Linked DNA regions of Callithrix jacchus. The main gene of each other region encodes a partner of the protein of the gene in region 3 in a complex. Links are inferred from orthologs where the notes say so. Each region holds a gene or a part of one and is shown on either strand. Other genes may lie near its edges.

Region 1 (4,098 bases), about 120 Mb from region 3:
TAGTTTAGGTTGGTATGGCAATGAGGCAATCCAGGAAAGGGGTTGGAACCTGCTGTAGGGAAGGGGCTGACTTCCATCACCTGGGGATGGATACTGATTGATAACTCCTGCTGGGATGCTGTTACTGAAAGCTGTGGATGCTTAAGTTCTCCCTCCTCCCTCCTCCCCTACACCTCCCCCCTCTTCCCCTAGCTTGTTCCAACTAAGTGTTTCCTGGTGGGGAAAATGCCTTTCAACAGCCTTGGCTGACTGAGGCAATTAAATTATGAAATTCACCACATTAGATGAAAACCAGCATCTCAATCAGCCAATTCATTTGTGTCTGGCCACTCTGTTTTCTTGTGCCAGCTCTGCCCACAATGGCCAGGCTATGCCTACACTGCTTGCTGGTACAAAGTGACTATGGGCTCAGACAATGGGCTGGTCTTTGGGACTAGAAGGGTAGATTCTCCCAGGAACCCCCGAGAAGACACGATGCATCCATAAGCCATCAAGTTTCCTGCAAATGCCCTGGACTGCTGACCGTGCGGCCAGCACTATAGACAGAGCAAACCTTCCACCACCTTCCACTTGCATTTTCCAAGACTTCAACCTGTGCCTATCTTGAGGTTGCCAATTGAGGTCGTCAATGCCTCTGGGAGAAGCATGGGTGAGCAACAGGAGAAAGGAATCTGGAATCTGGGCTGTGGCTCGCCTTTCGCTTCTTAGTCAAAGCATCTTCTCTCCAGGAAGCCTTGCCCACCTGTGTCTTCTCCGCTGCTATTGCTACCTCTATCACTAAGATGTGTCAGGGCCCCAATCCATGTGCCAGCACCCCCTCATCTAGGTGCTCACTAAAAGTAGAGTCTCCAGCACCTAACCCAGGGCCTGGCACACAGCAAGTGCCCAATCAAGTCTGCTCAAACAATTAATGAATAAATGAATCAGTAACTAACCACCCACTAAATAACACTCTCACTCATCCTACCCTTACCCCCTGCCCCTACCCAAGTGATAGATGGGAAGAACCAAGCTTGCTTTCACTGGGTAATTGTTCTTTTCTTCCTGCTCTCTTCTGCCCACACGGGGTACCCACAGATTTAAAATGCCATTAAAGGGCATCCGGCTGCAGAACCTGCCTTCGATGTGGAGCATACAACTTGCCCGCAGCTCTTCTTTCCACACCACACACATAAATCCAACTGCAGCCCGAGACCTAGGATGAAGGTGTCTTCCATTTCTACCTCGCTTTTATCAACCTCCCTGGAGTCACTGCCTGACAAATGACTCAAAACCGAAATAGCTACCGGACCTGAAAAAGACTGACTCCACCAACCTTCACAGGCACAGCTTGTGGACCCAAGGGCCCCCGGTCTTAGGACACCAAGTGGACCCTGAGGTGGTGTCACTTTGTGTCCTACTCTTCCCTAGACACCAAAGCAAGCCTTCACCAACACCCCAGGAAAGCTCACAGCTCAGATCGGCATACTGAGCATCAGTTCTCCGTATGAATGGGAAGAGTGGGGCCCAGGGTCCAAAGGGCTTGGCCTCATCACAGTCACTGGAATCTGCTCCAGAATACAGACCGTGGGATCCTGCCTCCTCTTCTTGTGTCACTAACTTCCTTCCCTCCCTCCCTCTATTGCACCGACAGAGTGAAACCAAATGGTCCAGACACCTGGCATTCTCTGCCCTGATTACCGGGGAGTCAAAGCCCAGCCTGCCTTCCCCAAGGTCAAAACCACCAGGATCCAGCAGGAACCAAGAGCGTCCAGATTAAACCTGCAGGGGCCTGGGTCCGCCCCCTCACCCACAGTCCGTTGGGTCAGGCCTCTGGAGAGATTTTTCTTTGTTCAAAGACAATGGGAATAGACTTCGGGGGCTTTAGAGCAGGAACACAAAAAAAGTATCTGGTGTCTCCAGGACACCATCCGCAAAAGAAAAGCTTCTAAAGCAACTATGAAGGAGTCGAGGTGGGGTGGGGGGAGTGGGGGCGTAACACCGCGCGGTGGTGTATCGGAGCCAGGGCGAGCGTGGGAAGAAGAGTCAGGATGGAGGGCTTGCTCTGGACCTGCCAGGCTGGCCTCCACCCAGGTGGACAGGTGGGTGTGCCTTCGGGAGTGCGACCTTTCTCTGCCGCTGGACAGTTCTGCAAACCGAAACAAGGGACCCCGGCAGGCGGAAAGTGAACGGCCCGGGGCTCCGGGGCCAGGCCCGCGCAGACCCTTCCCTTGGGAACCCCAGGCCCTCGCTCTGCGAAGGGCAGGCAAGGCCTGGGCGTCCGGGGCGCGGGGCTTTGCCGCCCGCATCCTCAAAGACAAGCAGTGTTTCTTTCCAGGATCAATAGTAATTTTTTAAAAAGAGAGTCTGCGGACTCAATGAATCAACCACTCCCCGGGGAAAGAGTAGCGGCTTCCGCGAGCAACATCCATTTGCCAAACAATTCATTCCCCGGCGCAGGGCTCTCGGCGAATTCCCTCGCGGGGCCGCGGGGTGCCGGCCGGCCGCCGCCCCCACGCCTGTCCCAGGGCCCCCGCCCCAACCGCGCTCGCTCCTCCCGGGACACGCAGCACCGCGGGGGCTCGGAGCGCTCGGTCCCGGCCCGGCCCGAGGCGGCGAGTCCCCAGCGCAGGGAGCGGGCGCGCGGGTGCAGCGGCCAAAGCACGGCGTCCCCGCCCGGCCCGGGTACTCACCGCCGCAGTCACTCCCCGCCGCCGCTGCCGCCGCCACCTCAGAGACCACCCCCGGCCCCCCGCGCGAGCTCTGCAGGCCCCGCCGCCGCTCGCGTCGACCAGCTCGCCACAACCCAAACGCTCCCGCTGCGGTACCGCCGAGGCGCAGCCAACAAACTAGTTTCTCCGGCCTTCCCGCCCCGCCTCCCGGCCTGAAGCGCAGCAGCCAATCAGAGGCAACGCCTCTGTGACGGATGGGCGGTTGAACCCGTCAGTGCAGCCGCAGAGAACAAAGGGGTGGGCGTCCAGGCCGCGCCGGCACCGCGCCGGAGGGAGGCCGGGGCGGGGTGGGGAAAGGAAAAAGACTTTAACCAGATTCTTAAAGAGACAGGCGCCTTCCCGCCCCCGCGGCCCGAGTTTGGGAACGAAGCGCGACGGCGTCCTAGAGCTTTCCGGAGGGAGCGTTGTAGATGGCATGTGCCTCTTACTTTTGTATTCGGGTCACAAGTGCTTAGGTGTCTTTAGACTCCGCGGAGCCATACTTGTAGTGCCAGAGTGTTAATGAAACCCTTTCTTTCACTCCGGGCTTGTTGAATGTTTGGGACTTTCTGCAGTCCCTAAATCCCACCTGTACTTGAAATCTGTATTTTTCGGGGTATTTCAGACCTCCTCTCTGTGTCATTTCTCACTAAACTTCTTTTGTAAGCCAGCCTTTAAATGTTCATTCATTCATCTATCCATCCAATAATTTCTTCCAGGAACGTTTCCTGGACGCCCAGAGGATGCTCTCGTCTAGGAGGGGAAGAACTGTGTGTGATTCCTCCTTTTCCCTCCTGACTGCTACTTCAACTTGCTGTATGTGTCCAATCTCGTCTGTAAAGTGGCAGAAAAAAAAAAAAAACTCCTCATCGGATTATTTGGGGGATTAAAGGAGACAAACTCCCAGACAAAATGAGTACTCAATAAATGCCCGTTCTTTTCTCCCTCCTGATGAAATTCAAGTAGGTCGCTTAAGGATACAAAAGATGCCGGGCGCGTGGTGGCTCAGGCTTGTAATCCCAACACTGTGCAAGGCCCAGGCGGGTGGATCACGAGGTCAGGAGTTCAAGACCAGCCTGGCTAACACAGTGAAACCCCGTCTCTACTAAAAATACAAAAAAAAAAAAATTAGCTGGGTTTGGTGGCAGGCGCCTGTAATCCCAGCTACTTGGGAGGCTGAGGCAGGAGATTCACTTGAACCCGGGAGGTGGAGGTTGCAGTGAGGCAAAATCACACCACTGCACTCTGCCTGGGCGACAGCGCCAGACTCCATCTCAAAAGAAAGAAAAAAAAAAGGATACAAAAGGTAAAGCATAGAAAGTGATAAGAACATAAGAACATAAGAGGCAAGTCTGGGGCCAGGAAATGCCGAGAAGCAGAGGTCACCCTGATGGAGGTGGGAAGAGCA
Region 2 (4,097 bases), on a different chromosome or scaffold from region 3:
CTAATTCTTGGTGGGATAGACAGAATTGGTAACTCAAATTACAAAGGAAGAATGTATTTAGTTCAAAAGAAAAAATCTCTGACAGTAAAGATGTATAGCACCATTACATGTAAAGATCTTGAAATCTACAATTCTGAGAGCAGAATCTAGTTGAAGAACACTTGGGAAAAGCTCAAATTATTGTGGAAATACACAATAACCTACCCAGTCCAGAGAAAAAGATATACAGCATATGGGAGGAAAAATACGTAGGCGTTTTCTTCTTGTGGATATGAAAGTGTCCCAGGCACAAGATTTTAATGATGGGTAGCTTCAACCTCAAACACATATTGAACTATTCTATTTACTAAACATCTGGTTTGCTTTACAGGTAATACACAGCTGTCCCTTGGGGTATCTATCGGGTATTAAGAGACCAGACTCAGCCGAGCGCGGTGCCTGATGCCTGTAATCCCAGCACTTTGAGAGGCAGATGCGGGCGGATCACCTAAGGTTTGGAGTTTGAGACCAACCAGACCAACATGGTGAAACCCCGTCTCTACTAAAAATACAAAATTAGCTGGGCGTGGTGGCTCATACCAGTACTCCCAGCTACTCAGAAGGCTGAGGCAGGAGAATCGCTTGAATCTGGGAGGTGGAGGTTGCAGGGAGCCAAGCACCACTGCACTCTAGCCTGGGCAAGAGTGAAACTCCATCTCAAAAAAAAGATTTTCCCAGAGTTGAACCAGGAGTGGTGGTGTGTGCCTATATCTCCTTGAGAGGCTGAGGTGGATCAGTTGGGTCTCTCTCTCTCTCTCTCTCTCTCCACACTCAGCCTGGGAAGCTTTTAAATATATAGATTCTGATTCCATAACCCAGACCCACTCAATCAGAATTTCTGTGTTTGAAATCCAAGATATTCCAATTGTAAAAGCACCCAACAAGAGGATTCTCATGATCAGCGAGGCTGTAGAACAATTATTTGCAAATAGGCTACACTTTCTAACAGACAAGAAAATCAGCGCCTGAAATTGCATGAAAAATCCACAGCTTAACCTGAAACAAAAATTGCAGACACTGGGCTGGACACAGTGGCTCACACGTACAATCCCAGCACTTTGGGAGGCCAAGGCAGGCAGGTCACTTGAGATAGTAGTTTGAGACCAGCTTGGCCAACATGGTGAAACCCTATCTCTATTAAAAACACAAAAAATTAGCTGGGCATGGTGGCACATGCTTGTAATCCCAGGTACTTGGGAGGCTGAGGCACGAGAATCACCTGAACCTGGGAAGCAGAGGTTGCAGTGAGCCAAGATAGCACTACTGTACTCCAGCCTGGGCAAGAGATTAAGACCCTGTCTTAAAAAAAAATTGTGTAGGCATAGCAAAGGCTACTGGTATTTGGGCCTTAGATTCTGCAATCATCATGGAATGCGGTAGGGAATGTGAAGTTTCTGTATCTTCATGCAAGTAAGTTAGCCTTGAAAGGTCAAATGAAATCTGTCCTATCTATAGCTGCCATTAAAGAACAGCATAACCAAACTTACTGCTGACTGCTACTTATGGCTGCTCGTATTTGTAATAGAAATATGCTGGTCCACATTTAATTCAGTTTATTCTCCCTCTCTCCAATATTAAGTCAAAAATAACCTAAAAGCAAAGAACAAATAAAGCAATTTCTATGCCTTGGCTTCTATTCTGCTCAGGAAAGGTACAACAAAGATGCAAAAGATCATAGAAATGTAAAGTTAAGCTTTACACATTTGTTATTAGCAATGAGGAGCTAAATTAACTTCTACTATGTTCAGAGGAAGAGAGAACACCAACAATGTTACTAGTTACTAAGTATTTAAACCTGGCAAGAAGTCTAGTTGGTAAAAAGAACTATCTCAAATGGTAATAGTAACAAAGAGAAAAATACATTTTCCAAAGAAAAGTATTAGCAGGTTTAACAGCACCAATTTTTACCCTCTAAAAACTACTATTTGACCCTATGATAACTTGTCAGTTTAAAAACAGAGATGACTATTTTCTAAAGGTAGCATTTTAGAATCTCAAAGTGTAAATTATCCCATTTATTTTTGTTTAGAAATATTCTAAATCTTTCTGCCTTCCCAACATTAAAACTTCACCTTAGTTAATTGCAACACATTTCTTGTATTTAAACCTTTATAAAATTTCTTTCATATGTCCCTTACACATGCAAGAATGAGATTTGGCAAGAACTACATCATCTGAATAGAAAACTTAAGCACAACATTGAGATGTGGCTTTTTTTAAAAATTAAATAATATTTCAAAGAATTTCTGTTTAAAACATTAAAAGTACTTACCTGAAATAAGAGCTACAGGTTGCAAGAACCATCTTATGACAAGGGAATTCGGTGCCCTCAACGATCAACACGATGTCAGTGAACAACTGCTGCTCATAAAACAGTTTCAACTGTTCCAGCAAGGACACAGCATATTCAGTATTAATCTGCCTCTCGTCTTGAGTGGACATGACTGTATTCCATTAATATCTCCCAGGCCAGATTAGAAAAGTCCGTCTTACTGATGGAAGGTCAAGTGAACACTTCAGAAATAAAGGAGAAACTACTTGCTGTTATCTGCAGCATTCAGCACTAAGACTGACACATTCACTAGTGAGGAGTATCTTGTTATAGACTTAGAATCACTCCTAGGTCATCCTGTGTTCATAGGTTCTTCAGAGTGTTTCAACACAGTCTGCAGACATTGTGCTCAATCTGCAATTGCACAGCTCATGAGTCAAAGAGAAAAATACACGAGGTAGACTTTGTGGCAACATCCTATGTTCAGTGGATCCTGCAGAGTAACTAAAAAGAAAAAAAGTTCAGTTGTAATATCTAGGCCAGCACAGTTTTAGAATACAATCTTTAAAATGGCAGCCTTAAATAGAAATCATATTTTTTGAAGTTCAACTTTAGACATCATAAAAGTGAAACATGACAAAAATGAAGATTCTTAAGTCTACTACATTTAAAACTGAAAAACAGAAGAAAATTACCAGTTGTAATTTCAAGTTAACTTTCGCCTTCTATACAAAATATACATGTTGTAGAAAATAACAAACACGTGAATAAGTATTCTTTCAAAATAAATTACCAAAGCCAGCTCTCCTAGTTATTTGTTTGGTAACAATAAATGATCATAATATGTAAGAAAAAAAAAAAAACCCTGCTCTCTTACACAGCGGTTCTCATTCTCTGGATATATTTTTAAATATTTTCACAAAGTCTTCATATTTAATTGAAATTACTTAAACTATATGGCAAATACATTCAAATTGTTTATTTTCAAAGTATAAGCTATATATTTTCAAATTTGCCATTAAATTCTATAAGAGAAGTGTATGCAATTTACCTCTTTGTAGAGTGGTTCTTTCCTAGGAATCTTTATGAATAAGAGCATATAATTTTACTTAAAAAAAAAAGTGTTCCTACCCAGAAAACTCCATATTACACAAATATGAATGTTCTCCAAATTAATATGTAAGTTTAGCACAAATCCAATCTAAATCCTATTTCCAAGGGATTTATCTGGAAGAATGCACAAAAGTTGCCAAGGTATTTGAGGAGAAAAGGGGCAAGTTTTTCAAGATTTTTATGAAAATATAAAGTGTATTATAAAACTCCCATTAACCGAACGAGGCATTTATCTTCATCGTATCTAAGAAATTAGATAGGATGAAAGTAAATATGGCATTTCAAATTAGGAAGAACGGCTTATTTCAAACAAATAATGTTGGATGTGGCCAACTGCTAAAGGGGGAATAAAAACAAAACTCAGGCTTTAGTCATGCTGCCTATCATTTACCCAAAAAAATAAAATTCCAGCTGAGCAAAAATTTACTTGGAACTCAGTATTTACAACATATGGCAAAGGAATTACAAATCCGGAAAAGAGGAAAATCCCAAATAGAATGCTACCAATATGCTAAATATAAAAACTACCACTTCTTTTTTCACCAACTCTCTTATTAGGATGACCCTTAGTTACCATAATGAGAAATGACTCCATCATTAGAATCACTAATACTTTTTGTCACAAAATACCATTATGTCAAAGACGGTATCACAGCTACTTCCTGCCAAACTA
Region 3 (4,049 bases):
AACTCTTGTTGCCTAGAGTGCAATGGCACCACCTCTGCCTCCTGGGTTCAAGCAATTCTCCTGCCTCAGCCTCCCCAGTAGCTAGGACTATAGGCACCCACCACCATGCCCGGCTAATTTTTTGTATTTTAGTAGAGATGGGATTTCACCGTGTTGGTCAGGATGGTCTCGATCTCCTGACTTCATGATCTGCCTGCTTCGGCCTCCCCAAATGCTGGGATTACAGACGTGAGCCACAGACGCCCGGCCAAACTAGAATTGTTATTTTCAATGGGAACCACTTATGAATGTTATTAATACTTATTAAACAGTAATGAAAAATTTTAGAAATCAACAGCTATTAACTACTGAATATCAAAACTAGTCACTTACATATAACCTGAAAGAGAAGTTATAGACAGAATAGGCCCAAATTAGCTCATAACCATAAACGAAGCTAAAAAAAAAAAAAAAATTCAGTTCCAGTACTACGTGGTAAGCTATCACACAATTTTATTATACTGGTCAGCTAAAGGAATATGAAATTCTCTCCCATCTCTTCTCCTCAACAATACTAGCTCCAGAAGGCAGGGATCTTGGTCTTTTTAGCTATACTGACAAACCCTCACAAGACCGCCTGGCACATAATATTCAGTATTTGTTGAACAAATGAAATGATGGCAAAACAGGTAAGATCAGGGAAACCTGTAGACATCAAAGAGTTTGATTAAACACAGATGGAAGTACAACTGGTCAATCAGAAGGCCATTAACCTGAGTGAGTCGATGTCAAATGTGAGTTACTCCACGTTTTAGAAAAAAATCTTTAGAACTTTCGAATTCAAGAATGAGGAGTGTAGGACCGCAAACACTCCTAGAAAATCTGTTGTACAAAACTATTAACTTCATAAAATTCTAAATTCTAAACTCTACTTTAAAATGGTCAGAATTTAGCAGGAAAATTATTAATATTACTCACAAATTCATAAAGCCAGCTCTTTGCCCAATTATAAAGGAAAACATACTAGTGAACTTCGTTAGTACTCTGTCAACACTGCTGACTTCCTGATGTAATTTCTCACGTTTACTTAGAAAAAAGTTTGAAACATTCAAAAAGCCTTTATTATCAAAAACACTTAATTCTCCCAAATACATCGTACCTATTTACAGAAAGCAGAAGCTTCCTCACACTGACTTTAGTATTAATGTTCTTGCATTTCAGAATTCTACATCAGGTGTATCCTTTTCAATTTTAGGAATTCAGAGGTCCTCAGGTTCTCTGGGACTAAATTACTTGACTCAACTGGGGCAATCATATTTAGATAACAAGTCTTTTCCCCACTACAAGGGCACTTCAGGAAAAGCATGCTTTAAAAAGTGACAATAAATCCCTCTCTTATGCCTGCACATCATATGAAGTATTTGCGAATCTAAGACGGGAAGACCAAGATCTTTCTCTAATTTTACTTTTTAAAATCTTCTGTCCGATTGCTAGTTGGTCTGTCTTGATGTATGCCTTTTATTGTAGCAACATGGGCAAGTATGTCCAGTTTGTTAACAAGAGTACATTTTAATTGCTTGCCATCAGGTATCTGAATCAGATATGACACCCAAAGTTATACCCTATGTCCTAAACACTGAAAGGGTACGACTCAACCTAATGCCAAAAAAGTAAGTTTCTGAGCAGAACGCGTTTGCTGTCACTGAAACCGATGAAAGAAAGCAACTCCACAAGGCGACTAAGCTCATTCTTTGGGCTCCCAAGGCTGAGAAATGGAGAACCAATTGCCCGGTTTGCTCCCTGTGGCTTTCCCCCGGCCTTCCTCGGAGTGGCGAGGCAATCCTGCACAAGAGTTTGTAAAGTGCTTAGGAGGCTTGCGGGATGAAATACACCCCATGTTACTAGTTTATGATCACAGAGCATTCCGTGCAACCACTGTCACTGCGTCGGAGGCAAGTTGAGGGCAGAGCCCTTCCTGGGGAGGGGGACAGAGAGGGCAGCCCTTTCATCACCCTAAAAGCTAGACTGGGTTATTTTGGAAAGTGCAGCGAAACCCCACGTGAAAAGTTGCACACATGCCCCACACAGGGAGGACTCCGCCGCAGCCAGCAAAGCCGGAGACTGGCCCTACACCCCGGCAACGTGGGGAGGCGTGGGGCGGCCGAGGGGCTCCGGCCGCAGCCAACGCCCACGAGGCGGCTGGAGAAGCAGCTCGCAGACGGGGGCGCGGGGCCAGGCCCGGGCTCCCGGCGCGGGGAACGGCCCGGGAGGGCGGCCGCGCCGGGGCCCCGCGCCGCCCGGTTGCTGGGAAGGCTCGCGCCTCGCGGCCGGCGGGCGTGGGGGAGGGGAGGCCGGGCCTGCGGCCTGTTGGGGGAGTTCAGCCCGGGCCTCGCGTGCGGCTCTCGGCTCGGCCCCCGGCCCCGGGGTCCCGGACGCCGGGGAGAGACTCACCGGAAAGGCCCGGATCCGCATCTTGGTGTCCTTCCGGCTGCCCGTGCCTTTGCTCAGATTCGACATGGTGCTCGTCCCCTACCCGGCGGCGGCTTCAGGTCGCGCTCCGCGGCGCCGGTGTCACATTTAAGGCGGGCGGGCAGGCGAGGGGCGACGCTGGGGGCGGTGGCGGAGCGGACCCGGGCAGGGCTAGGGAGCTGGCCGGCCCCTGAGCAGCCGCGGCGGCGGCGGGGACGGCGGCGGCTCGGGCTCCGGCGGCTCCGACGCGGCTGGGGGGCTGCGCTGGCGCGGCTGCTCCACGGGGTCCCCCTCAGGCCCGGCTTCGCTCCCTTTATCGCGCTCCTCCGCGATGGCGGCGGCGGCGGCGACGGACAAACATCTCACTGCGCAGGCCGAACGTCGTCCTCCTCCTCCTCCTTCTCCTCCTCCGCCTGAGCGAGACGAGATCCGGCCCAGAGGGTGGAGGGGGGAGGAGGGAGGGAGGAGAGCCGGAGAGTGAGAGATGCGGGGGGAGGGAGGTGGGAGGACGGGAGGGGGAAGCGGGCGGCCGCGGCGGGGACGCTCAGATCTCGCGAGAAGAGGGCGAGCGCGCTACTCCTTGTGGGGCGGGGCGAAACCCGGGAGCGGGAGGACGCCACCAGAGGGGAGGAGGGGAATGGGGAGTTGGGGGGAGTGGTAGGGGCCGGCGGGGCGGGGTAGCGAAAAGAGGGCGTGGCTAAGAGCGGGAGGTTTAAGCTGCCTTTTGAAAGAGGAGCGCCAGGTCCCCGGTTCTGGGCGGAGGTGGTTGCTGATTGGTGGAACTTCAAGTGGGGTTGGGGGGGAGGGGGGTTCCTGGTCACGTGGGGGGAGTGGGCGGGGGAAGTTTGGAGAGCAGGAGCAGGATTGTAGTGGGCTGGGCCTTACTGGGCTGGGGCAAGATTTAGTCTTGAGGAGGAGCGTGGGGTGCTAGATGGATAACTACGTCCCGAACTGGTTCCTATGTTTTTCTAGGGCATATGGACTAGGGATGGGTACTTGAGCAGAAGCCAGCAACTAGAACGAAGAGTTTGTGCAGGAGTTACCTGCATGATCGGAAATTACTGTCCTGTATGCTCAACAAGGTATTCGGACTGGGTGTCCACACAACAGCTCTCAGGACTGGAGGGTGGAAATTTAATCTACAAAGTTCCCTTAAACTGCAAAAGCTTCGGGACCTCTTGATTCACTGATATTTTCTGGTGGACCCCGGGCTTATTAATGTTAAAACCTGTTTTTCATTACTATCAGAAAAAAATAACAGCTCCATTAATGAAATGCAGCATTTGGTAAATGATGTTAAATGGAATGATAGAAACCTAACTTTAACCAACCAGATGAGTCATTTCTACTATTACCAAGAGTACTGTAGGTTTTTAAAGCCAAAATTACTGTCTGATACAGTTGCTGTATATTTGAAAAGTTTTGGGTTTTGGGGGAGAGGGGTTTGATCATTTTATATTCAAAATGTCTAATCTGACTCATGGTTTTGCTGTCCATTTATTATGAACTGTACTTCCTCATTTACCTACTTGCCCAAGTGCTGTTATGTTTGGGTTTCTGACTCTGCAAGGGAGTATGTGAGTGCCTACTAAAGTTTGTCA
Region 4 (4,308 bases), on a different chromosome or scaffold from region 3:
TTTAAATGATATAATCTGGGTTATTAAACTTCAGTAAGATATAGACATTTTCACTTTGCAGTTTTTCTTAACCATTCAAATGTAACATATAGTAAAAATGTTTTACAGGAAACTTTAAAAAGGACCCACTGTACCCACTCTTGTTTCTTAAGAGTCACATGTTGACTAAGAAGCCTGGCTCTGGAATCAAATGTAGCCTCGGCCATTTGCTTGTTGGATAGATGATTTAGGCGTGTTATTAAAACTTAATCTCACTGAGCCTCAGCTTCTTCCTAAGTCAAATGGAACAACAACTGTGCAGAAATAGGATTATAAAGATTATATAAGGCAATACATGTAAAGTAAGCTTGATAAGTAGTAATTGTAACGTATATTTAAACATACAAATGACCTAACCATATCTAATAGATAATCTGTGTAAGTGAATCTCACCAGAAGTTTCCATTACCAGGCCAAACTTCATACCTTCTGCATACGTGGGTTTTATTTTTTTTTTTTCCGTATTGCAATGATTAATACTTAGTAGTCCAATGACCTAGCCTAGGCAAGTCTAAATGGTTACATCACAAGCATCAAACTGAAATGACTATATTTAACCCAGTATTCTGAGAAAGAGGAACCAGAAACTACTGTTGGAACATTATACGGCTATGTTCCCTATATAGGTAAGCACTTTCAAAAGGAAAAATCACATTCAGAGTGCGGTTGAACACTTTACTATTATTTATGCACCACTTGTGAATACGGAAAAGCTTCAAGTGAGCAGGTAGCACAAAAGAAGTTAAACACACACAGTAAACTGCCTTTCCCACTAATTTTAAAGTAGGAAGTTATTTTTCAGCCCCCAGTTTTTAAATTTTATTTTTAAAAGTTTAAACAATAAAAGTAAAAATAAAAACAGTTTAGCATACGTCTAGAAATATTGAAAATTGTTAATTTGGGGACTTAGGCACGTAGAGACTATATTTTACTCATTTTTTATTCCACTGCTTTGACCCCCAAAGCATTAAAACAATCTATCAAATGGTAATTTGTTTTTAAAGGAACACACTACTATGTTTTAAACCCTTTTATAAAAGAGTCCCATGTACTAAAGAAACATGCGTTATGGATAACTTGTTGAAAATAATTCTAGATCAGCACTGTCCAGTATAACTGCCAGTGATGAAAATGTTGTATCTCTGTGCTGTTTAATATGGCGGCCACTAGCTGCGGGTGACCACCAAGCACCGAAAACATGTTTAGTGGCCCCACACGGTGGCTCACGCCTTAATCCCAGCGCATTGGGAGGTTGCGGCGGGCGAATCACGAGGTCAAGAGATGGAGATCATCCTGGCCAGCACAGTGAAACCCCGTCTCTATTAAAAATACAAAAAATTAGCTGGGCGTGGTGGTGCCTGCCTATAGCTCCAGCAACTCGGAGCCCTGAGAAAGAATTGCTTGAAACCGGAAAACGGAAGTAGTGAACCGGGATTGCGCCACTGCACTCCAGCCTGGCGATAGAGCGAGACTCTGTCGCAAAAAAAAAAAAAAAAAAAAAAAAAAGTGTTTAGTGTACTTGGGGACCCGAGGAACTACATGTTTCATTTTATTTAACTTATAATTTAAGTTTAAACAGCCACGCATGGCTACTGGCTGCCATACTGACCAGCACAAGTCTAGATTACCTCAAACACACACACCGACCCAGTAACTTAAAATTCAACGCTAGAAGAATCCCTCAAGTCAAAATAAGGTCTTAAAAAGAGAGGACCCGTTTTCTAGTCTCAAGAAACAAAGCCATTGGTTTCATTTCATTATTGCATCTCAGTATAAACATCAAGTGGACAATACTGAGGGGGGAAGGGAGCTTGGTGCAGATACCGACACAAGTTCCTACCATCATCATACCTGAAGTAAGGGCTGATTGCAGCAAGAACGTTTCTATGACAGGAAAATGTTTTCCCGTGATCCACTTCCACTACAATGTCTGTCAACTGTCCTTCATCGTACATTGTTTTGAGTTGCTTAAGAATACTGCAAGCATGGAAGGGGTCCATGGCATCGCTGGCTGGGTCTGTAGATGGAATCCCATTCGGTGTTGGGGAAGATTTACTTAAATCTAGGAGGAGAAAAATCGTACAACCACAAGAAGTGCCGAGCCAGTTACGGCGTCGCGGGATTTTTTTTTGTTTGTGTGTTTGCTTGCTTGGCTTTTTCCCCGCTACAAAGATATATATATACATATATGTCTGTGGATATACGCACGACCTCGTGGGACCGCGAGTTTAGGATCTAGGAGACAGAGGGCGGAGCGCCATCGGCGGAACAAGTTCAAAGGCCAGCCTGCTCCTGCGGAGCCCGGCGAGCCCGGCGCCCGTGCTCGCGGAGGGAACGCGCTCGCAGCCCATGTGAGGCGTCTGCGAGAACTCCGCCGAGAGCCGAGGGCAGAGCCTCACGAAGGAAGCTCAACCGACGGCGACCGCCGGTGCCCCCTCAAGCCGCCTCCCGCTGCCTCCCGGGTCGCAGCGACGGCGGGTACCCAGCCTCCCCATCCCTGTCCCGCCGGACCGCCCACCGCCCTCCGCACCATTCATCCTCCCCTCATTCCCCTCTACCTCCTCATCCTTCCCTCCGGCTCCACACCGCTACCTCTTCATCCCACCGCCTATGGCCGGCCCCGGCCAACCTTCCCCCTCAACTCCCTCCACGCCGCCCTGGCCACCACACAACCCACCTGCCGACGCGGCCATTTCTCGATGGGGCCCCGGCTCCAGCTATTTAAAGAGGAAATGTCATTTCGCTTCTCCAGCTCCCGGGTTCCGGCTCTTCTAAGCTTCCCCTAGCCAATGGGGTGTACTGTGCATTTGGCTCCGCCCCTAGCCTACGAATTTCTGGCACTGATTGGTCTCGACGCGAGCATATGCGTGACGGGTAATGTAGTTTGATTGCCCCCGCTCCCGCGTGGTCAGACTTGGGCGGAGGCCCAACCCGGGAATTCCTATTGGCAGATACGGGCGGAGGTGGAGAGCAGGGAGCTAGCCAGCCTGTGGCCGTCGAGCGCGCAGTGCCTGCCGGGAGAGGTAGTCTTCTGGCGGAGGAGAACTGTCATTCTGAGGGGCTGGGGTAGGGAAAGCTCTTCAAGTGCGAATGTCCCCATTTTAGGCCTCTCTCCTGGCCCCCGGCTCATTTTTTTACCTTTTTCTTCTTCCGTAAACTTCCTGCCACTGACTGGCTTCCGGTATGCAATCAAGCTCTGCGTGAGAGCTGTAAAACCTGAAAAATTTGGAAATGTACAGGAGGGCTGTTGTCCAAAAATGCAAAGGAAATATGACGCCCCACCCTGAAGAAAAATATCGGAAGGCCCAAAAGCAAGGCGTCTCTGATGAGTCACCTGTGACACCCAATTGAAATAGCATCGCCTTGGCCCGGTACTCTGGTTTCCACAGATTAACTTGGTCTGGTTAGAGCGGTTGTTTAGGATATTTAACTCCCACTCGTGCCTTGCTTTTCTAGCGCACCCAGAGAACACCTGTTCCGCACGTGAACATTATAGAGGGATCCCAGATGCTTTCCTTTTTGCTCTTGGAAAATGGAGGGATGCAATACTAAGTATTCTGGGAATTCCTTTGAAAAAAATACCGGAGAGCCCTGAGCCCGGGGCCAGGGATGATTACTGAAGCCCTGGCTCTTTAGTCACTATATGTGAGAACTGACATAAGACCTTTCAATCCTTAACCACTTAGATCCTTCACCTGTAACGTGAAGTGATAGTAATACGTATTCTATGGACTTCATAGGCTGCAACCCTTTGGAAAGAAAATCAAAATTTTGATTTACTCATCTTGTGTTTCTAACATCTGATGGGGTGCCTGGCACATTATAGATGCTTAATATTTTAAAGATTAAGGTGCAAATGAGCTAACATTGGTAATGTTACTTCTAGACTGTTAAAATGTAAGGAAGTATCAGTGAATGGCAAGAATGTCTAGTAGGCATATAGTTAGCCCGTGTGCATAAATCTTCTAGCACTGAAAAGATTAAACAGTTGAACTTCTTGATAAAGGATCTTGGAATTTAAATTGTTATTGAGAAAGAGAAAGAATTTTGAAAAACAATTCAGTTCTGTCCCCTAGGTCTGCTGAGAAATTTAGAACTCAAAATACTATAACCCCATGCAAATTAACAAGAAGTGGTATTTCCTCATGACAGGGGTTTATGCATTCCCATATGCGCTTATAATTTCCTCTTTGTGAATGTCCTGTCTGCACATTTCTGGATGGATGAAATTGACTTAATTTTTGTTACTCATAACTTTACTTTTTCATT
Region 5 (4,001 bases), on a different chromosome or scaffold from region 3:
AAGTGGGGGGTCTCTTAAAACTCACCAAAACCTACCTTCCTCTGAAGAACCAAGGAAGGGCTCCTTTTTTTTTTTTTTTTTTTTTTTTTTTTTAGATGGGGTTTCACCACGATGGCCAAGCTGGTCTTGAACTCCTGACCTCAGGTAATCCACCCACCTCGGCCTCCCAAAGTGCTGGGATTACAGGCGTGAGCCACCGCGCCCGGCCGGGAGGGCTCTTTTTTCCCTACAGTGACGTTCAAAGTGGTGCTGTATCTATTGGAACTAAAATAAGGGTAATTTCTTCTTTTCACCATTCCCCCGTCTCAATACAAGCGAACCGGACTGTGCTGAGTGGCGTCATCTCCTAGTTTCAAGGCGGTCTCCCATCTGACTTTGAGCCCTCGCTCTCTGATCCCCCAGGGCCTCTCTCATGGAGTCTGAGCAGCTGTTGCAGGGAGGCCCGGGAGCCCCTGGCAGGAGCAGCCCAGGAGCCTGCAGCAAAACTGTAACTACGCCTGAAGCCAACTAAAGTGAACGCCAGTGTTGCTGGGTTAGAAGCTCCTGCACGAACACAGGGGTGGGAACGACTCCTGGAATCCGGCCCCGGATAGCTTTTAAATGCGCCAAGAAAAAACGTCACTGAAAAACTTGATACGCGTTCTTGCTTTGGTTCAGAATGGTAAAATGCCTATCCTGTGTATCCCGTGACAGGGTTAACTAGCAACCCTTGAAACTAGTGGAACTCAAAAAGCAAAACAAAAAGCCATTGTATCCAGCCGCCCCGGGACCTGGGCCGGCGCCCTTGGGAAGTCTGGCGCGAAAGGAGGGGTGGCTTCGGTTTCAGGGCCGAGCTCGCCTCCTCCGGGTTGGGTTCAGTGGCCGGGTGGGTCGTGGGCAACCCCGGGAGGCCCCTGGTCCCGGCGCGCGGCTGGGCCGCCCACGGAGCTGGCACTTGTCACTCGCCGTCCCCGGCACGGGAGTCCGTGGGGAGACCCGGAAGGGCGGAGGGAGGGACCGCGGCGATTCACCCGGCGGAGCCGGGGGCGGGCGCCGCGTGGGGGGCAGGCGAGCCCGCGCTCGGGGCGGTGGCGCCGGGCACGGAGGGGTTAAGGGGGCGGTGTCGGCGACGCCCCGCCTCTCCACGCCCATCCTGCTTCCCTAAGGGCCGCGGCGCCCCGCCCTATTTATAGCAGCGGTGCCGGGCTCGCAGCGTGTCTCCGCAGGCCCCGGCCGCGGTGTCCCCGAGTTCCGAGTGTAAGTGCCATGGAGCGGCCGGCGCCCCTGGCCGTGCTGCCCTTCTCTGACCCCGCGCACGCCCTCAGCCTGCTGCGCGGCCTGAGCCAGCTCCGCGCCGAGCGCAAGTTCCTGGACGTGACCCTGGAGGCAGCAGGCGGGCGCGACTTCCCGGCGCACCGCGCGGTGCTGGCCGCAGCCAGCCCCTACTTCCGCGCCATGTTCGCCGGGCAGCTGCGCGAGAGCCGCGCCGAGCGGGTGCGCCTGCACGGAGTACCGCCCGACATGCTGCAGCTGCTGCTGGACTTCAGCTACACGGGCCGCGTGGCGGTGAGCGGCGACAATGCCGAGCCGCTGCTGCGCGCCGCCGACCTGCTGCAATTCCCGGCCGTGAAGGAAGCTTGTGGCGCCTTCCTGCAGCAGCAGCTGGACCTGGCTAACTGCCTGGATATGCAGGACTTCGCCGAGGCCTTCAGTTGCGCGGGGTTGGCGAGCGCGGCGCAGCGCTTCATCCTGCGCCACGTGGGCGAGCTGGGCGCCGAGCAGCTGGAGCGGCTGCCACTGGCGCGCCTGCTGCGCTACCTGCGGGACGACGGGCTGTGCGTGCCCAAGGAGGAGGCAGCCTACCAGCTGGCGCTGCGCTGGGTCCGCGCTGACCCGCCGCGCCGCGCCGTGCACTGGCCGCAGCTGCTGGAGGCCGTGCGCCTGCCCTTCGTGCGACGCTTCTACCTGCTGGCGCACGTCGAGGCTGAGCCGCTGGTGGCGCGCTGCCCGCCCTGCCTGAGCCTGCTGCGCGAGGCGCGCGACTTCCAGGCAGCGCGCTATGACCGCCACGACCGCGGGCCCTGCCCCCGAATGCGTCCTCGCCCCTCCACTGGCCTCGCCGAGATCCTCGTGCTCGTGGGCGGCTGCGACCAGGACTGCGACGAGCTGGTCACTGTCGACTGCTACAACCCGCAGACGGGCCAGTGGCGCTACCTAGCCGAGTTCCCAGACCACCTGGGCGGGGGCTACAGCATCGTGGCGCTGGGCAATGACATATACGTGACGGGTGAGTGGGCCGGGGGCTGGGCAGGCTCTTTGGGGTGGAGCCTCGCCCGTGCGGTAGCCCAGCTACCCGCAGAAGAAATGTACAGACCCTGGAATCCTAGGGCCGCACCTGAGTCCAAGCTGGGGCCCGGGTGACTACAAAGCACTGGCCGGTACTTTTCAAGTATCACCCTTGAAAAGTATCGCCGCTTGTATGAGCCGGGACAAGTAATTGCTTGTGAGTCTGTGACCCGTGAGGCCGGGGTGCCAGGCTGAGCCAACTCCGTGCCCCGAAGGTGCCTCCCCACTTGGTTGGAAGATACTGGGGCATTCACTCCGCACAATGGCTGCTTTCTTTTTCTCCTTAGGGAATCTAGGGAAGGGCAGGAGTCTGACGCCCGGTGGTGAGGCATCTGTTCTCCCCCAGCGGGGGAATGTCGCCCTCCCTGCTGAGCCACCCGGGCCCCCTGACTCACTCTTTGTCACCGGTGACACGGTTCCCTTGGGCTTGCACCTAGGCGCTGTGCTGTGGTCACATGGTGTTTAGGCTGCCCTCCCCAGAGACTGTAAACATGGTCACATGTTAGAGGTTTTCTTCCAGTTACTTGGCCCAAGCCCGAAAACACTGCCGAGTCATGGTAGGCGGGTCCCAGGCCGCCTGGGTTTGGGCTTCTCCTGCAGTTTTTGTTGAAGATAAATCCCAGTTTAAACAGGAGGCTACCTCCTTCCCCGGGGTGAGGAAGGGCGGGCTCTGTAACTGCTATATAAGGAAAGAACCCACCAGGCAGGCATGTGAGGCAGTTATCAGGCAAGGAGGTGGGGACTGGGATGTCACAGTTGCTGTGCCCAGCCTTACATGTTCGCCAGAGAGCCCACTCTGGGACGTGCTCTGAGTTCCAGTGGGACTCTGAGCTGTCAAGTGTGACAGTTGCTGGGCTCTGGCCACAGCTTCCTTGCCCTGCAGCTCTGAGTCCAGCCTCTGCTGGAATCTGCCAGTAGATTCCTCTTTCCAATCTGAGGTTGTCCCCAAGTTGATTGGAGACGGTGTCCCTCCCCTCTCCCCAAAGTCTGACGAATGTCTTTGAGGAGAGGATTGCTTCCCAGAACTACTCAGACTCGCCCCAGCTTTCTGCACACCCTTCCATAAATGTCTCAGCAGAGCAGTTAATCCCTTGGGTTTAGGCAGGTGGCTGGGTAATTCCATTCAGCTGCCTTTCACACAGCTCCATGGAAGGGAGGAGGCCGGCAGAGTGCACTTCCTAAGAACAAGAACTTGCTCTTCCTTTAGAGCTCAGGGCTGTGAGACAGAATGTCCTGTCTGCTCTGTCCTGGTGGTGCCAGTCTGGGAGGCCAAGGCGTGCAGCCCCAGGATTCTTGGGGTCCCTTCCTGTCCTGGGGTTTCTAATAGCCCTTCTAGACCTGGTATGATTTATGATTACAGCTAGTAGCACTTTTTATTGAAACTAAAAATACAGGGCCGGGTGCAGTAATCACATCTGTAATCCCAGCACTTTGGCAGATCAAGGTGGGTGGATCCCTTGAGCTCAGGAGTTTAGGACCGGCCTGGGCAACATGGCAAAACCCTGTCTCAACAAAAAATACATAAATTAGCCCAGTGTGGCAGCGTGTGCCACCTACTCAGGAGGCTGAGGTGGGAGGATTGCTTGAGCCCAGGAGGTGGACGTTGCAGTGATCTGAGATCATGCCACTGCCTTCCAGCCTGGGTGGCAGTAAGACTGTATCAAAAAAAAAAAAAA
Region 6 (3,528 bases), on a different chromosome or scaffold from region 3:
CGTTGGGCCGCTAGCCCTGCACTGAGAACTGGAGGGTGGACCTCAGCTCCCCGGGTCGCCGGGGCTGGACACAGGCAGCAGCGGGACTTGTGTGGCCCGTTGTTTTTGCAGGTGCCCGTGAAGCATGTGTACCGCGTGCTTCAGTGCCAGGAGGAGGAGCTCACACAGATGGTGTCCACCATGTCAGACGGCTGGAAGTTTGAGCAGGTGAGGCCCCTGCCAGGCTGACGGCAGCCACGCTGCAGCTGGACTTTTACTCACACTGGCTTAGGGCTCAGTGCCCCTGGAAATGTGGGCTTCGCTGCTGGTGTCCTTCTGCAGTTCTGGGGGTGCTCACGACAGTGTCCTGTGTCCTGTTCCCACTGGAAGAGCCATGGGAGTTTGGGCGGGGTGGGCAGAGGTGTCTCAGGCCCTGCCCCACACCCTCCCCTCCTCCCCGGCCTGCCGTTTGCAGCCCTTCTCACTCAGCCTCTTCTTCCCACACTGCACTTTCTGTGTATCACCTGGCACCTCTGTGTGTCGGGGGGATTGGCGTCCCCAGAGCCTCGTGGCCGGCCTACCACCCAACGCAGCCCCGTCCCCTGCAGCTCACTCCAGTGGAACAGATGGATGCTCTGACGCCCTTCTCAAGCTGCCTCCCCTTCCTGTCTTCGCAGGAAGGCACTGCCAGGTCCCTGTTGCCTTCTCACTCTGGTTTGGCTGAGCTACGGCATGTGGGGCTGAGGGATCTGTGCAGGGCTCGCCTTCTCCGGCAGCTTCCATAGGAGCCACTGTGCTGTGGCACTGTGGCCTGTCGTCGTTGGGGACCTCAGGACATGTGAGGATGACCTCTGACTGGGGGCCCATGCCCACGATCTGGGTGCCACTGTTCCTACTGTTGCTGATGCTAGGCAGACAGGGTGGGGACAGTGACAGTGTCCTCTGTCACTTGCTTCTGTCTAGGGCAGGTTCTGTCCATGGCCCCGTGGCCCTCCAAGGCTGTGGGAGGGACAGGCTCAGCTAGTGTCCCTTTCCTTTGAGTCTTTCAAAATAATATAACACATTGTAGGGTACTTGGAGCGCCCCTTAAAATGTCACTAAAGACATTTGCGTCCCACCATCCATGCTGGCCCCCCAGGCTTGGTGACTGGGTGTTTGTGCTGATGGAGCAGCTCGCTGGCCCGGGCTGCCCTGCACTGGGGGCCACATCTTTCTCATGCTCTGACCGCATCAGAATCGTGCCAGAGCCTCACACAGGAACGGAAATCGCTCCTGCCCAGCGAGCCCCACCTCCCAGTTGTCCCTTGGTGGGGCTGGGTACCTGGGAAGCCATGTCATCAGTTCGGGGACCGAGAACACCTGTGCTCTTCTGCCACTACCTTGTGACTTTCCTAGCTGGGAGGGAGCGAGATCTCCTGCCCGTGGTGGTCACCTGCCCCTCCCCGGGGCAGCTCAGATCTTTGTCCTCAGTGCTTCTGGGTGGAGCTGGTGTCCTCCCCCTTCCTTATGACCCACATGACAGACTTCATCCCTCCTGGTTCATGTAGAGAAGCCGCTGGGCTGACCAGCTGCCCTGGCTGTGGGCGGGACCCTGGGGGGTCCTGGGAGGTGGCCAGACCGGACCCAGGGTCTCCAGTGGTCATTGGGACTGCGAGCAAGGCTTGAAAGTGGCCGACGTGCCTGTCAGGATGCAGGGGCTCAGTGGCCGTGGCCGTGAGTGCTCCCAAGTGGGTACTCCTAGCTGCTTGGCCCCATGCCAGCACCTCTGTGGCTGCCTCACTGGGCTGGGTCCACTGTCAGCAGCCACACAGGAACAGCAGGTAGCCCCAGGCCCCCTTCCTGGCCATTGGTCCGACCATGCAGGTCATAGGTAGGGAGGCCAAAGTGTGAGCACCAACCAGCTGCTTTTTGGCTCGGTCATTTGCTGCTGGCCTGCTTACCATGATTTGCATATTGCCTTTTAATTTTCCCTTCAATAGCACAGAAGTGCCCTGTGGCCTGGGGTAGCCACCCATGGGTCAGATGCCTCGCCAGAGAGGGGTCGGCCCTGGGCCTGCATGGCCTGGCCTGCCTGGTGACACAGAGGGAGGCAGGTTAGAGTGGCCTGAGGTGTGCCCAGCCGGCTGCAGCAGACCCACCCTGGCTGAACTCCGGACAGCACAGCTCCTCGGCGGCTTTTGGTCCTGTCAGCCAAGTCCCCTGCTCTTCCCTCCAGGTTTTCAGAGCTGCCCTCCACTCCCCTCCCGCTGCCCCTCTCCCTCCGACCCAGCTCAGGGACCCTTCTGCGTTCCCTCTCCATTGGCAGCGGCCCCTGTTTGCCCGTCTAGAAGTGCCAAGGAAAGCCTGGTGTCCCCGCAGAGGAGGACCTGGCTTGTGCCCCGCCCCGGTGTGGGTGCCGTTGTGTGTGCTCATGCGGGTGTTCCAGGAAGTGGTTTTCCATTGGTTTCCTCAAGTGTCGGCGGTCTTCTCTGTGGCTTTTGCGGTGGCAGGCGCGTCCTGAGCCTGGATGTGTCAGCTGGGCCACGTCCCTCTCAGGCCTCACTGGGCTGCATCTCGGGCTGTGTCTCCCTTGCAGCTGGTCAGCATCGGCTCCTCTTACAACTATGGGAATGAAGACCAAGCGGAGTTCCTCTGCGTGGTGTCCAAGGAGCTGCACAACACCCCGTACGGTACAGCCAGCGAGCCCAGCGAGAAGGCCAAGGTCAGTGCTGGGGCGGCCTGGCGGATGGGGAAGGTTCCTGCCCTCTCTCAGCTTCCTCTGTTCCTGCCGTTTTCATCAAGCCCCTGTCTCCGCCCCTGGTGACCTTGCTGACTTTTCGGAGGCATGGTCTTCCGTGGGACGAGGCCTCTAGACCCAGGCTCCCAGTAAGCCCCTGCGGGAATGCCACTGAGGGCTGTGTCTCAGGGGACCCAGAGTCCTATGTTCCCAGGGCACAGCCTCTGGTGTGTGAGGACTTGGGACATTGTGGCCTGGCTGTCATGGTGGGTGTCTGGGCCCATCCCTGAGTTCAGGGATGTGGGGGTCCGGCTGTTGTGTGGTGGGAGTCTGAGCCATTCCTGAGTGCCAGGTGGGCCCCCTGGCTCAGCCAGTGCCGGCCCTGGGATTCTCAGGCTGCACAGAGTGGGGCCCTGTGTGGCACCCAGCCTGGCAGCACCGGCATAGACTCTGCGGGGGCTCAGGCCCGTCTATTTTCTGAGGGCTGGGCAGCTGGGGTGAAATACAGGGATCCCTGCCTTGTTTACTTTTAGAATGGCCCCATGGCCCTGCCCACGGGTGACCCATTCTGGTGGCATTTTCTCTGGGTATGTTCTAAAGGTTGAGGCTCCAAGATGGACAGATGCATCCATGTGAGCAGATTCCAGCCTTGGCCTGGGCCAGCTCTACCTGGCAGGACTCCCAGACCCCAGAGCCACGTGGTGGCTGGAGAGCCCTTGGTGGCCTGCTCTCTGGGAACTCCTGGGGTCTGCATGGGTCTGGGAGAGCCTGGATGGTGGGGCCAGCTCTGTGGGCAGCCAGCCTGGGGTGTGAGCCCTGGGCTCACCAGTGAC
Region 7 (3,528 bases), on a different chromosome or scaffold from region 3:
CAAAGTTATAAGTAGACTAGAGATAAGATTATTTGGTGACAAGATACAAAGATCTGTTTCTATGTCCAAAATAATGGCTTACCTCATTTAACTTAATAGAAGTATTCCCAAAAAGTTGTGCAAAGAGGCTTTTTATAAGTGGACCCTTATTTTAAGTATACTAGAGGCCATGGTTGTAAAGAAACCCTGTAGTGACTCCTAGAATAAACTGAAAAACTCTAAGTAATTAGCCCCGTCCTACATCTGCATAGTGGACGGCATATTGCAGGCACTCAATAAGTGTTTGCGGAATGCATGAATTTGCTGACAGTGATTTTCCCCCAACAGGATTTTCTTAAAGTGAGGCACACACTAACTGAAATGGTTCTGCCTGCTGTTATTGCAGAATGATGGAATCCAGCTCACAGTTGAACTGATTGGATTACAAAATATCAGATAATTTTAGAGCGTTTTTCACTCAAAATAAAAGTTCTGTAAGTATGAGTATATATATTTTTGAAGAATGCTGATCTGATTGGCAGAAACTTTTATTGTTAACTCCCTCAGTGAAAACAACTGCTTGAGCTGCATTCTATTTCAATTCACAACCAAGGCAAGTAAAGCACTTTACCTAACTTCAAAAATACTACCAGAAGCCATTCCACTTCTGTAAGGGCTTCTTCCTTACTCCAGCACCTATGTTTAAATGCTGTCCTTACCTTAGTCCACAAAAGCAAAACATTAATTACAAAGCTAAGATTAAATTAGTTGCCTGACTTAAATATGGTAAACTTTTTTTAAGTCTTGAAATAAGAACTAAGTCAAATACATTCAATAAAAGTAACTCTCAAAGGCAAATTTATGTCTTATTTGGTGTTTTCTTCCCTTCCCATTTAAATTTAAGACTCAATTTTTTAAAATATTCATATATTCATTTTTCTAAATAATATATCCTCTTTAAAATACAGAACACCTAGCAATGCAACCTATGTGGCCACATAAATATGTAATCTGCCACATAAATAAAATAAGAGGTTGTATCAATCTATTAATCCAGCATTTGTACCTGCAAAGAAGGCTGGAAAAATGGCTGAGAATGTTTTTATGCAAGTTTTGAGGAGGACTGAACACTAGCAAGGATTCATTGTAGGGCTCCATCATTGTAAGTTTCCTAAGAAGTAGAGTGCAAACAAAATATCTGAACACAGAACCCTATTTTAAACATACTAGATGTATGTGTGGGTATGCTTGACGGAGAAGAGGGAATGAATATGTTAATACGAATGCTTGTCAAGTATACTGGCAAGAAAAAGAAAATCTCTCACATAAGGTGCTAATGATATGTAAAGGGACCTAAATACAACAGATTTTAAAAATCATCTTTACCATTTGTTCCAATTATTGACTTTGGCCCTTTACCATGCAGTCACAATGAATCTATATTTTGATGATCCGTCATTGGCCCAAGAGTATCATGTCTGGAGATAGATTTGCTCCCATAATTTAAAAATCAATAATTTTAAAAATAACAAAGTTGGTCTCTTTTTTCCACAAGTTTTCAAGTAATTAGTTCAAGTAAGCTTATTTACAGCTGCTACTGTATATATGTGACCTATTTTAACCCTTCTTTACCCTTTAGGAATCAGTCTCCCTTGCAATGGGACACTACGTTTTTAAAAAAAATCTTGAACCAGTTTCTTTCATCTACGAATTCAATTCAGTCATGTTTCTGCTTTATTGGGCAGATAAAGAGAAGACACCAGCAAGTTATGTCCAAAAGCTGGAAAACGCCGAAATGCTTCCCAACTATCTGAAAAGATGTTGTACTTGAGGAACACTCGGTGTTCCAAGCTGGTCGACAGGGTGACGTCTCTGCTCATGATGTAGATGCCATCGTTATGGAGTGCACAAGTCAAGTTAAGACCCGATTTGGACGTGTTCTCCTTGAGGTAGAGCCACTGCCGGGTGACGGTGTTGTAGGACTGCACGGTGAGCATGTCCTCACTCTGGCTGCTCCTGCGGTTGGGCCCCAGCTCGTGGAGACACCCCCCCACGATATAGATGGTCTCCTCCACAGACACCATCTGCTGCTTGCGAATGTGGACGTCACAAGTTTCAAAGAGGGTCCAGATGTCAGAAGAGGGGCAGTACTGCAAAATGTTCATGTTCCGGTCTGAAAGAAAGAAAGATAAGTGATGACACCGCCCCCACTAACACCATTAGGCGAGGCTGCCCAGAAATGTCTACCTCTACCTGCATAATTTGGTAACAAAGAGAAAAAACTGTTTCGGAAAAAGCACAAGTTGGTAAAACAGTTTTCAAAATGGCTGGGAAGAGATATATTTAGATCCAGCCACACTCGCCTCCTCCTCCCAAATATCTCCTTGGGAGACTCAGACTGGATAAAACCAGGGAAAAGAGCAGCTCTGACTTTCACACAGCCCCTCCTCCCTGGTACCCGCCCCCACACCTTTGAACCACCAGGTCAGGGCAAAAAAACTAAGTGCCTCAGAACTCTCATCAATAGCTACAAAATTACCGACTACTTAATACAGAAGCCAGGCTGATCAGCAACTACATCTGTCCTTGACAGCTGATCCTAAGAAACATGACAAGTAGCAACATAGGCTCTCCAGAGGCTGTCTAGTGAAAAGGACACAACGTTACAAGTCAGGAGGAACGCAGCAGTCTCACCTGCAGCCTTCTACCAAGCCACAGAATCACTTGGCAATTCGGTTTTCCAATTTGTTTTTATTTGTAAAGACTGGGTCTTTACCATGCCCAGCCTTAGTTTCCCAATTATATCACCAGAGAGACAATAACAAAGGTCCTCCCTCTCCCTTTTCCCATTTCCCAAGAGATAGTTGCAGTGTAGAAAACATCAAAGTCTAGATAAAAGGCTTCTCTGGCATTTTTAATTAATAATGATTTTTGGCCAGGCATGGTGTCTCAGGACTTCACCATTTTAGGGGGCTGAAGCAAGAGGACTGCTTGAGCCCAGGAGTTCAAGAGTTCAAGACCAGCCTGAGCAACATGGTGAGACCGCCCCCCCCCCGCCTACAAAAAAAATAAAAAACTAGCCAGGCATGGTGGTATGCACCTATGTTCCCAGCTGCTACTTAGAAGGCTGAGGTGGGAGGATGGCTTTATTTAGCCTGGGCGGGTGAGGCTGCAGTGAGCTGTGATCACATCACTGCATTCCAGCCAGGGTGACAGGGATCCTGGTGTCTCAAAAAAAAAAAAAAAAAAAAGGTGATTTTCTTTAAGGAAAAAAATTGCCTAGTCTCTTTGTGAAAAATGCTTAAGAAATTTAGAATATCTAATTTTGCTTTTCTTGTTTTTAATTGTTCTCTTTTTCTTTTCTCCTCTAGGAAAGAATAAATGAGTATTTTAGCTTCAGCAGAAAACACAAATGCTCTGAGTTATAAACAGAATGTTGCTGTTTTTTCTAAACAATAAATCCTAACCATGAAGGAGACAGCTCAGCTTGGGCACTGGCAGACAACTAAAGCCTACAACATTTTGATGGCTGCAGATGCTGGTAAGAGA

What was found.
Region 1: CUL3 (region 3) and KLHL25 share a complex: the UniProt entries of both Homo sapiens proteins name them as parts of the BCR(KLHL25) E3 ubiquitin ligase complex. The link is inferred for Callithrix jacchus from reciprocal best matches to the Homo sapiens genes CUL3 and KLHL25.
Region 2: CUL3 (region 3) and KBTBD2 share a complex: the UniProt entries of both Homo sapiens proteins name them as parts of the BCR(KBTBD2) E3 ubiquitin ligase complex. The link is inferred for Callithrix jacchus from reciprocal best matches to the Homo sapiens genes CUL3 and KBTBD2.
Region 4: CUL3 (region 3) and KBTBD8 share a complex: the UniProt entries of both Homo sapiens proteins name them as parts of the BCR(KBTBD8) E3 ubiquitin ligase complex. The link is inferred for Callithrix jacchus from reciprocal best matches to the Homo sapiens genes CUL3 and KBTBD8.
Region 5: CUL3 (region 3) and KLHL21 share a complex: the UniProt entries of both Homo sapiens proteins name them as parts of the BCR(KLHL21) E3 ubiquitin ligase complex. The link is inferred for Callithrix jacchus from reciprocal best matches to the Homo sapiens genes CUL3 and KLHL21.
Region 6: the proteins of CUL3 (region 3) and KCTD5 are in contact, whole or in part, in a cryo-EM structure (PDB 8U83), measured with the Homo sapiens proteins. The link is inferred for Callithrix jacchus from reciprocal best matches to the Homo sapiens genes CUL3 and KCTD5. Residues at the interface, in NP_003581.1 of Homo sapiens: Thr24, Met25, Asp26, Glu27, Lys28, Tyr29, Val30, Asn31, Ser32, Ile33, Trp34, Asp35, Leu36, Leu37, Asn39, Ala40, Glu43, Asn48, Ser50, Leu52, Ser53, Glu55, Glu56, Leu57, Arg59, Asn60, Ala61, Tyr62, Thr63, Met64; in NP_061865.1 of Homo sapiens: Trp45, Phe55, Leu56, Thr58, Thr61, Arg64, Asp65, Lys67, Ser68, Pro96, Thr97, Tyr98, Phe99, Gly100, Pro101, Leu103, Asn104, Tyr105, Leu106, Arg107, His108, Gly109, Lys110, Leu111, Val112, Ile113, Asn114, Lys115, Leu117, Val122.
Region 7: CUL3 (region 3) and KLHL42 share a complex: the UniProt entries of both Homo sapiens proteins name them as parts of the BCR(KLHL42) E3 ubiquitin ligase complex. The link is inferred for Callithrix jacchus from reciprocal best matches to the Homo sapiens genes CUL3 and KLHL42.

The regions. Positions count from the first base shown.
Region 1 is NC_133507.1:29,916,413-29,920,510, forward strand, and holds the start of KLHL25 (kelch-like protein 25), read right to left. Parts: upstream 2,826-4,098; 5' UTR 2,673-2,825; intron 1-2,672. UniProt on the Homo sapiens protein: Substrate-specific adapter of a BCR (BTB-CUL3-RBX1) E3 ubiquitin ligase complex involved in various processes, such as translation homeostasis and lipid synthesis.
Region 2 is NC_133512.1:1,770,105-1,774,201, forward strand, and holds the start of KBTBD2 (kelch repeat and BTB domain-containing protein 2), read right to left. Parts: upstream 2,817-4,097; 5' UTR 2,816-2,816; coding exon of another isoform or gene 2,748-2,815; 5' UTR 2,482-2,747; coding exon 2,312-2,481; intron 1-2,311. Other genes in the region: uncharacterized protein LOC144578307, read right to left, coding at 2,748-2,815. UniProt on the Homo sapiens protein: Substrate-specific adapter of a BCR (BTB-CUL3-RBX1) E3 ubiquitin ligase complex that acts as a regulator of the insulin signaling pathway, modulating insulin sensitivity by limiting PIK3R1/p85alpha abundance in adipocytes.
Region 3 is NC_133507.1:146,311,866-146,315,914, forward strand, and holds the start of CUL3 (cullin-3), read right to left. Parts: upstream 2,813-4,049; 5' UTR 2,497-2,812; coding exon 2,431-2,496; intron 1-2,430. UniProt on the Homo sapiens protein: Core component of multiple cullin-RING-based BCR (BTB-CUL3-RBX1) E3 ubiquitin-protein ligase complexes which mediate the ubiquitination and subsequent proteasomal degradation of target proteins.
Region 4 is NC_133516.1:48,792,273-48,796,580, reverse strand, and holds the start of KBTBD8 (kelch repeat and BTB domain-containing protein 8), read right to left. Parts: upstream 2,813-4,308; 5' UTR 2,733-2,812; coding exon 2,717-2,732; intron 2,518-2,716; exon of another isoform or gene 2,404-2,517; intron 2,102-2,403; coding exon 1,891-2,101; intron 1,439-1,890; exon of another isoform or gene 433-1,438; intron 1-432. UniProt on the Homo sapiens protein: Substrate-specific adapter of a BCR (BTB-CUL3-RBX1) E3 ubiquitin ligase complex that acts as a regulator of neural crest specification.
Region 5 is NC_133508.1:44,496,636-44,500,636, reverse strand, and holds the start of KLHL21 (kelch-like protein 21), read left to right. Parts: upstream 1-1,193; 5' UTR 1,194-1,245; coding exon 1,246-2,266; intron 2,267-4,001. UniProt on the Homo sapiens protein: Substrate-specific adapter of a BCR (BTB-CUL3-RBX1) E3 ubiquitin-protein ligase complex required for efficient chromosome alignment and cytokinesis.
Region 6 is NC_133513.1:4,170,735-4,174,262, reverse strand, and holds part of KCTD5 (BTB/POZ domain-containing protein KCTD5), read left to right. Parts: intron 1-111; coding exon 112-207; intron 208-2,554; coding exon 2,555-2,680; intron 2,681-3,528. UniProt on the Homo sapiens protein: Its interaction with CUL3 suggests that it may act as a substrate adapter in some E3 ligase complex. Does not affect the function of Kv channel Kv2.1/KCNB1, Kv1.2/KCNA2, Kv4.2/KCND2 and Kv3.4/KCNC4.
Region 7 is NC_133510.1:43,423,083-43,426,610, forward strand, and holds part of KLHL42 (kelch-like protein 42), read right to left. Parts: intron 2,153-3,528; coding exon 1,701-2,152; 3' UTR 1-1,700. UniProt on the Homo sapiens protein: Substrate-specific adapter of a BCR (BTB-CUL3-RBX1) E3 ubiquitin-protein ligase complex required for mitotic progression and cytokinesis. The BCR(KLHL42) E3 ubiquitin ligase complex mediates the ubiquitination and subsequent degradation of KATNA1.